2 linked regions of the Rattus norvegicus genome follow. Each later gene encodes a partner of the first gene's protein in a complex. Links are inferred from orthologs where the notes say so. Each region holds a gene or a part of one and is shown on either strand. Other genes may lie near its edges. The genes, in order: Arpc3 and Arpc5.

Region 1 (4,509 bases):
CATTCATCAAATGACCGCTCGGCACCTTTTCTGTGCAAGATACGAGTGACAGTGTGACTTTTTTTTTTAAAGATTAAAAAATAATCTTAATTGTGTGTACGCTTGTATCTGCGGACGGGTATTTCTGTATGTATACAGTATCCACGCACTCCAGCAGATGGCGCTGGGGTCCCTGGAGCTGGAACTAGGCAGCTATGAATTGCTGGGTATGGACGCTGGAACAGAATTGTGGTTGCTGGGAATTGAACTCAGGACCTCTGGAAGAGCAGCCAGTGCTCCTAACCACTGAGCCATCTCTCCAACCCTTAGGTGGTTTTTCATCTCACCACCTGGTAACACTTCTGTTATCCTGAGATGTGTCTGCATTGCTGCAACTCCAGGGCCTGAGGGGTCCACCCTTTCGCCCTGCCCTTCACGTCCTACGTGAAGATTCTCTTAAAACTTGCCAGCCATGAAAGGCTATGAGGCTAGACCCCAGCTAATGGAGAAGAGACAAGAACCGCACTGATTCCCAGGTCAGTGTGCTTGATAGCCCAGTTTGGGTCCAGCTCATGGCGCCTTGTGCATGTGTTTCCAATAGCAGCAAGCTGAACCGTCTCTCCTGATATGAAGCTATATATACGATGTTTCCAGCTAACAGAGAAAGCAGACCAAATAAGCAATCACAGACTAAGTCTAGAGCATTCGTTCTGTGTCCACCTGGCTTGCACACAGAGCTTTTCAGTTCTAGCTTTAACTTTGGCTTCACTACTCATGAGCAACACTGCTAGGTTGGGTGAGAGAGATGGCTCAGTGGTTAAGAGCACTGACTGCTCTTCCAGAGGTCCTGAGTTCAAATCCCAGCACCCACATGGTGGCTCACAACCATCTGTCATGGGGTCTGATGCCCTCTTTGGCATGTCTGAAGATAGCCACACTGTACCCATACAAATAAGTAAATAAATAAATAAATAAATAAATCTTAAAAAAAAAAAAAAAAAAAAAACCCCACAAAACATTGCCCAAGTCATTGAATTTTGCTGAGCCCCAAGTCCTTCAGCAGGATATTAATGCCATGGACATCTCTTTTACACTGTCATCCTGAGAGTTGGGGGCTCTTTGGACAATAACTCTGGGTTTTCACATGTACCTCAATAGTCAGAAACCATAAAAATCATAAATCTTCCAAGGCTAAACATGGTGATGCCAGGCAGGCTTGCGATCCTAGCTGCATGGAAAACTGAGGCAGGAGGATAACAAATTCAAGGCCAGCCTGGGCAACTTTATGAGACCCCTTTACAAAAATAAGAAAGACACGGGAATCTAGCTCGGTGGTAGAGCATCTGTGTATGTAGCATGCCATGGGGCCCTGGGTTCAGTTCCCCACTGCTGCCCAAACACACACACAGCTCAAGGTTATGCTTGCCCTAAGAAGCCTTACCTATGCCAACCTCTTGCCCACATCCCCAGGTCCCTTGTTCCCCCAACCCGTCATCAGGCACTGGTTTGGTTTTACTTTTTGCACATGATCATGCATGCCCGTGTGTGTGTGTGTGTGTGTGTGTGTGTGTGTGTGTGTGTGTGTGTGCACGCGCGCGCGCGCGCATACTGGTACGTATGTGTATGTCCCCAGCTGGAGGCCACAGGTCTCTTTCTTCACTGCTTTTCACTTTATTTTTCAGACTGGGAGCCTCAGGGATCTCTATACATCCCCAGCTCTGGAATTGCCCACAGGAGCTGCCTCCCCTGGCTGTTTTACTTGGGTGCTAGGCATCCAAACTCAGGTCTTCACACTTGTGCCACTGAGACACCTCCTCAGTCCTACTATGTATTTGTGTGTGTGACAGTGTCTCTTACTGAACCCAGAACTTGCTGATTTTTGGCTAGGCTGGCTGGCCAATGAACTCGGAGGATCTGACTGTCCTTTGCCTCAACAGAGCTGGGGTCAGAAGCATGATCTGCTATACTCCCGCACAACAAGCTCTTTCCCCAGTATTTTTTTTTTTTTTTTTTTGCCTCTCTCCATTTCTTACAGCTATGTAACCCAGGCTGACCTAGAACTCACTACACACACAGTCCACACTGATCTGAGATTTGCTATTCTCCTGCCTCTGCCTTCAAGTTTTGGGATGAAATAATTGCCACCATCGTTGCCATCGATCTATTTTCTTCACAGCGTTTGTTAAGATCTGAAGCTACTTCCTATTTATATTTACGCGGTTATTGTTTCTCCGTTAAAGTATCAGCTCCCCGAGAGGGCCTTAGCTGCTGCTGTTAACAGTGCTGGCTTCCCAGTGAGAGTTCAGTAGTAACACTTGTCCAATGAAGGTAGACCTTATTCAAGCGTCCCTTTATAATGTGCAATCGGCATCAATTTCCTCCCACTCGGATGCACACGGAAAAGGAAACTCCTGGAAACTAGCGCTGACTCAGTGGTGGTCTGGGAGTTGGGTGGGAGTTACAGCAGGGAGGACGATGGAAGGGGTCCATCAGGGAAGTGAAGTCTGACAGGTGATTAGCAGCAGGCCGACTCACTCCCTGGGGCGGAGGAGGAAGTGGACATGACAAGAGCGGGGGGGGGGGGGGGGGAGAAGCTGGACCCTAGGTTTAAAAATAAAAGCCATCATTTTTAGGTTTGAGGCTCTAGAGTGGGACCTGGGAACACTGCAGGACTGGGGGTTTGGGAGTGGAAGCAGCGGGGCGAGAGAGCCGGTGCTGGAGGCAAAGGACCGGGGCTAGAGAGCAGGGCGGTTTCCTCTCCCCCAGGCCTTTTGACGCAGGTCTCCCGCCTCCCCTCAGGCCCTCGCCCCGCTCGGCTCCCCGACCTTGGGGCTCGAAGACTTACCGGCATTTTGTCGGTGTCCGGATTCGATCTAGAGATGCTGAACCCAGGTAAAGCGGAGCAGCGTTTCCGGCAAACTAGACTGGGTGGAGTGGGCGGAAATAAGCCGGAAGAGGCGGGCGAAGCGAATAAACGCACTTCCGGACCCGCTTCCGCTGTTTGCTACAGCTGCACTGATCGCAATGAATGCCAGGGGGCGCGCCAGCAGTAAGCTCTGAGTGTGGCGCATGCGTAAAACGCACTCAGAAAAAATGGATGGGCTTTAGAATTGAAGAATCCCTCTCAAGTGGTTAATAATCAACTCCCGTTTTTTCCTTATTCCCTGGCTTCAGCTTCAAAGCCAATAACACTCAGTTCCCCGATTTACCCTTCTGCCATGTCTATTTTTTTTTTTAATTTAACCACAGTGCAAGTGGGGGAAGTGGGGGAAGTGAGATCTGACTTCCCATTATGAGACTCGGGATAAACTGTTTTCAGAAACTCTTGCACACTAAGCAGACTTGGCGGCCATTATTATTATTATTATTATTTTTTTGTTCTTTTTTTCGGAGCTGGGGACCGAACCCAGGGCCTTGCGCTTCCTAGGTAAGCGCTCTAACCACTGAGCTAAATCCCCAGCCCCGGCGGCCATTATTTTTATTTTTCAATGTTTATGTTGTTAAGAGTCACAAGAAGTCGAGGCTGGCATATACATATATATGAACATGAACTTATCTGTCTCCACTTGTGTTCAGGAATTACAGATGTGTGCTCCACTACTCCGTTATTTTATTTTGCTGTTTTATAATGCCTACGGTGGTATCTCTGTCTCCCTACCCCTTGACCTGCCATCCACAAAATGTGTATCATATATCATCCCTACTTTTTAAAAAAATATTTATCTATTTATTTCATGTATGAATACACTGTAGCTATCTTCAGACACAGCAGAAGAGGGCATCAGATCCCATGACAGATGGTTGTGAGTCCCCATGTGGTTGCTGGGAATTGAACTCAGACCTCTAGAAGAGCAGTCAGTGCTCTTAACCGCTGAGCCATCTCTCCTGCCCCATCCCTACTCTTTCAACACGGTATGGTGTTAGGTCTTTCCTGATCACGGTAAGGACTAGGTGGGCAAGAAAACCAAGTATTATAAGGGCCCAGGTGATGCCACATGTCTGAAAGGGTGGAAACAGACCTACCACTGACCCCATCATATATCATCTAAGTATTTTGAGAGTCTCGCTGTGTAGCCCTGGCTAGTCTAGAACTTGCTTTGTAGTCAGTTACATTTTAAATCCCTTGTTGTGTGCAAACTTGTCCTGAGGTCAGAAGGCAACTTTTGTGAATGGGCTTTCCTTCCACCACACAGGCCCCAGGGATGGAGTTTGGATTATCAGGCGTGGCAACAGGACCTGACCAGCCATCTTGCCCACCATATACCTGGAACATAATGAACTCATTATTACCAAGCACCTTCCTCAGAATGCAGTGCATTGCTGTCTCCTAGTCCTTTCTTACGGCAGTCCCTCAGACTGGAATACCCATGTCTGCTTCTAGACCCACAGCACCTTTCAGACATTTGTTCTGATTGAGACTAAGGCAGCCCCCACTTTGTCACTCCTGCATTTCCTTTGCCAGCATGTGTGTGAGGACCTCTGCTCTACAGAAGCCATCTGTATGGTTATGTCCACCTCCAGTGAGGTGGA
Region 2 (4,330 bases), on another chromosome or scaffold:
AACACAAACCCTGGTAGAAACCCCTCAGTGTGCAGCAATACCATATAAGGCAGTAGCTGTGACCCGAGGAAGTAGCACGGAAACCACCTTTTTATGCGCTCATGCCTTTGATTCTGATATTTCATATTTACATAATTAAGAAAAACTTAGGGAATTAAGAGGCAGCTGAGTGTTTTTTGAACCTGTTTGAATTCAACTCGAGCAGATTGCTCCTTAAGCACACACAGAGCTGGTGTCCCCACCCTTTCTGTTTACTGTGCTCCACGCGTCCTAACCACATGTCAGCCCTATTTTCCATGACCGTTCTACTTAGCAGGGGCTTCCTTTCGGGCTGGATGTGGTGGTGCATGCCTTTAATCCCAGTGGAGGCGGGAGATCTCTGCAAGTTTCAGGCCAGGTTATAGACTCAGGTCCAGTCTCAAAACAAAAGTCACACTGTAAACCCTCGTGTCAAGCACAGTAAATAGTTAAAATGGTCATTGAAGGTAGGTGTCAGAGGACTTTGATAATAGCGAAGCAGAAGGGATTAACGCTGTAGTTTACCACTCACCTTCACTGCCTGGCTCTTTGTGTTAATGGGGGGGTTTTTCAGAGCGGCCTGTAGGGCAGCGGTCATGTTTCCTGTAGTGAAGGTTAAGGGCATAACAGAAAGGGCAGCCCCGGGGTTGGGGATTTAGCTCAGTGGTAGAGCGCTTGCCTAGGAAGTGCAAGGCCCTGAGTTCGGTCCCCAGCTCCGAAAAAAAGAACCAAAAAAAAGGCAGCCCCACTTTATGGGACTGGTGGGTTAGACTTGACTTTGTGAACAGTAACAAAAACTACTATGGTCATTAACTGTATGGGTTTCTTTCCAATATGTCAACCAAAGGTTAAAATAATGAAATTAAAAGAATATGATTTTTTTTTTTTGGTTCTTTTTTTCGGAGCTGGGGACCGAACCCAGGGCCTTGCGCTTAAGAATATGATTTTTTTTAAAAGCAAAGATTGTTCTGACCTGTTCTGTCAACCAAAGAGATTACACTTTCCAGGGAAATACACACAATTGTCTAGACAGGTATTCAAGAAGTCTTAGAATATGCCTAAGAATTAAGCCATCGAATGATGCAGTTTACCAACAAAGTATTCCATCCTGTCTGCGTGATTCTTACTGGAAAACAAGCCTAAACTTGATACTGAAACTACACTGTGTATTAACTGAGGTGCTGGCAGATTACTCTGGCAATCAGAGTGGGACAGGCCGTGATAGCTGCATATTGATGAACAGGGCTCCAGATGATGTAATAACCCACACGACCTGTAGGTGGCAGCTTACTTTATTTCCTACAGGTTATTCAAACTGGGCTGGACCCTCCATACCTACTTCGTACTGAAAGCACTAATGAGTTAGCAAGCACGGGAAACGGAAGGCCAATCAGACTGTCAGAAAAGACAGTCATTTCCCTAAAAGGAGAACCAGAGTCACTTGTTCCTCCATCTGTAGTACCCAACCGGGGCTGCCGCTCCTAGTTATAACCAGAGACAGTACCTTTATATTTGGATAAGATGGATTGATGAAAAGGTAGACTGAATTAATAATGGATACAGTCATAATAATCACCAGAAATTACCTAAAATACATTAGTTTAATAAAATATCATATCCACCATAAAGATTTCTTTAAACGAAGAATAAACTCACCACTTCTGTGGAAAAGGTCTAATAAAAATTATCTACAGTTAGTGATAAACTACTGTCAAGCCTGCATAGTCTCTTAAAGAACACTTTTTAAAGAAAAAAATCCCAAGTATTTTAATAAATAAATTAGTAGCAACCAATGTGGAAGTAGTGGTAATGAAAGTTAAACGTATATGGCACATATATGTATATATTCGATGCTGTGGTTACCACTAAATATTTCTGCTTACTTCTTCATCATAATCTAGTAGAAAATCGATGAGGGAGATATGTATCTACAGACTTAATGAATACGAGTTTTCTAAAGCTCCAATTTGGGGTTTTGTGACATTTCTATTTTTCTAAGGGATCAATGCAAATGATTTTCAAGGTTATGAATATTCAGATATGCAAACCAAGGAACCAGGAACTGACAGCCATATTTTAACTAGCCTGGAAACAATTTCAGAAAAACGATTTTGATTTATAGAAGTGACTCATTCTCTGCTTTATTCACTGGGGTTCATCTTAAATTATTCCCAGGGATTCTCTACATGCATTCCCTATCCTTTTCCTAGTAGCCTTTTCTTAGCAGGTGAAAGGCTCAAAGCCTTACCTGGGAATTTTGGATTAGAAAACTCCCTTCAGCCTGTTCATAAATTATATGCAACCTTGCCCAAACCCTCTTCTTTTAATAAATAACACTGCTGATGGAAAAAGCTCATGGGCTGAATGTACGGAGGGCCTCAATTTGTTCCATCTCTCCTGGCTAGAATAAACTATGCCCGCTCCGCAAATCACACACACCCGACAGAATAGCAAGACTCCAGGCGGGACCCGTGTCCCCACCGGGCAGGAATTTTTGGAGCTCAGGTGCCCACTAGGGCGTCATCCGGTGCCCCCCCGAGAGGGTGCGGCCGCTTAGGACAGCGCACCTGAGGAATCGGGGCGCCGGCAAGTTCGCAGGCGCGGCCGCGGGGTGCAGGCGGCCTGATAGCCCCGGGACCTCCTGCCCTCCGTCCCCACCTAGAGCCGGGCACAGCTGGCCGCGTGTCCCCGTGTCCCCGCAACCCCAGGCCGCCGCGAGCGTAAGGATATTGCCGTAGGCATGAGTCCACCTCGCCCTCGTCGGGCCCGGCCTGGCCATCGCCGCCGTCCTCCTCGTCCACGAACTTGTTCTCATCATATTCGTCCACGTCCACCTTCCGGAAGCGGGCCGACGACACCGTGTTCTTCGACATCCCGGATCGCGATGCAACTCTGGCCTCCCCTCCGCGGTGCCTCTTCTTCAGCGAGCCTAGCCTTGTCCGACTCACTTCCCTCTTCCGCTCTGGGGCGTCGCCGGCAGCCGCTGCTTGCTCGCTTCTGGGCCTGCGCGCTAGCCGGCGCGGCTTCCTCCTCAGCTTCCAGCCATCCTTCAGCCCCCGCTCCGCCCCCGCGTCCCCCGGGAGCGCGCGTCGGCCAGGGAGCGCGCGGGACGCACGGCGCACGCGCGGGCCCGCTGCAGGAAAGGGGCGGGGTTGGAGGGAGAGAGGCGGGGGCGGCGGGCGGACAGAAAGCGGGCTGAGGCGGAGCGGGAGACTTGATTGGCCGCCGGGGAGCGTCACGTGACACCCGGGAGGTTCCCATAGAAACGCTTTTCTGCGGTCCAGCCTTGCGGGGGGTCTTGGGCTGGAGGCTATGGGCACTTGGGGCGCGTGGCCTGGAGTGCTGCCGCCGTCGGTGCCAGCCGCTTGTTGTTGGGGTCCGGTGTGAAGTGTGGGTGGTCGGACTTAAGCGTGGGGTGGGATGGACTGGCTGCAGAACCTAGTCCCCTGCAGTCAGCGGGAGAATGAGGCGGAGTGATGCCCAGCACGAAACTAGTGATCGGAGCCCTCCATTCGGACCGAGCGCCGCCGGGGGCTGCGTTCCAGAGCTGAGAGCCCCTTCCGGGGCTTGGGATCTTGGCACGCTGTCGGTGGGAGGTCCCCAAGGACGGAGTCGAAAGGTCACTTCTTACCTGTCAGTGCTGGGGGACAGCATCGCGGCCGGACCTGCAGAATCTCAACTCGGTATTCTCTCCATCTGGAGGGAGGGAAAAGATGCTTGGGCCGGGGCTGGGGACGGGTAGCGAAATTGGGGCAAACTTGTAGCATTTTCTAGAATCAGTCATCACATCTTAAAATAAGTAGTTATTTGGAGCAAGAATGCCAGAAGAGGGTGGGCGAGTTAGGCTTTTCAGCGCTGGCGCTGAGGGAAAATAGCGTGTGCAAGGATTAATAGAAACTGGACTTTCAAGGTTGTTATTTATTGTTTAAGGCACGCCAGATCAGCTTTTTTGCGATATTCCACATTCCCGTCAGAGGCACTAAGATTAAACAAATAATAGCTGTGCTCTGTGCATTATACTGTCGTACACGTATTTACAAAATAAAATTAATTCAGACACTTGGCTATGCTCTGCTTAGATGCAGATCTACCTGGTTTCACAAACAGCAGAAGGCTGGATGTCATCCTGTTGAGTTACCTCGTTTGTTGTGCAGTACTGAAAAAGAGCACTGGGCTTGGGATCAGAAAGCAGTGGCTGAGTTTCGACTTTTTTGCTCTCATAATCTGCGAGATTGAGGCACGTTGCTTAAAATTTGGAACCTCGGATTTCTTATTGCCAAAATTGGGCTAATGTGCTTTTCCCAAGAATGCC

The links.
Region 2: Arpc3 (region 1) and Arpc5 share a complex: the UniProt entries of both Homo sapiens proteins name them as parts of the arp2/3 complex. The link is inferred for Rattus norvegicus from reciprocal best matches to the Homo sapiens genes ARPC3 and ARPC5.

Annotation. Positions count from the first base shown.
Region 1 is NC_086030.1:39,844,497-39,849,005, forward strand, and holds the start of Arpc3 (actin-related protein 2/3 complex subunit 3), read right to left. Parts: upstream 2,941-4,509; 5' UTR 2,831-2,940; coding exon 2,825-2,830; intron 1-2,824. UniProt on the Homo sapiens protein: Component of the Arp2/3 complex, a multiprotein complex that mediates actin polymerization upon stimulation by nucleation-promoting factor (NPF).
Region 2 is NC_086031.1:67,453,002-67,457,331, reverse strand, and holds the start of Arpc5 (actin-related protein 2/3 complex subunit 5), read right to left. Parts: upstream 2,954-4,330; 5' UTR 2,892-2,953; coding exon 2,749-2,891; intron 624-2,748; coding exon 551-623; intron 1-550. UniProt on the Homo sapiens protein: Component of the Arp2/3 complex, a multiprotein complex that mediates actin polymerization upon stimulation by nucleation-promoting factor (NPF).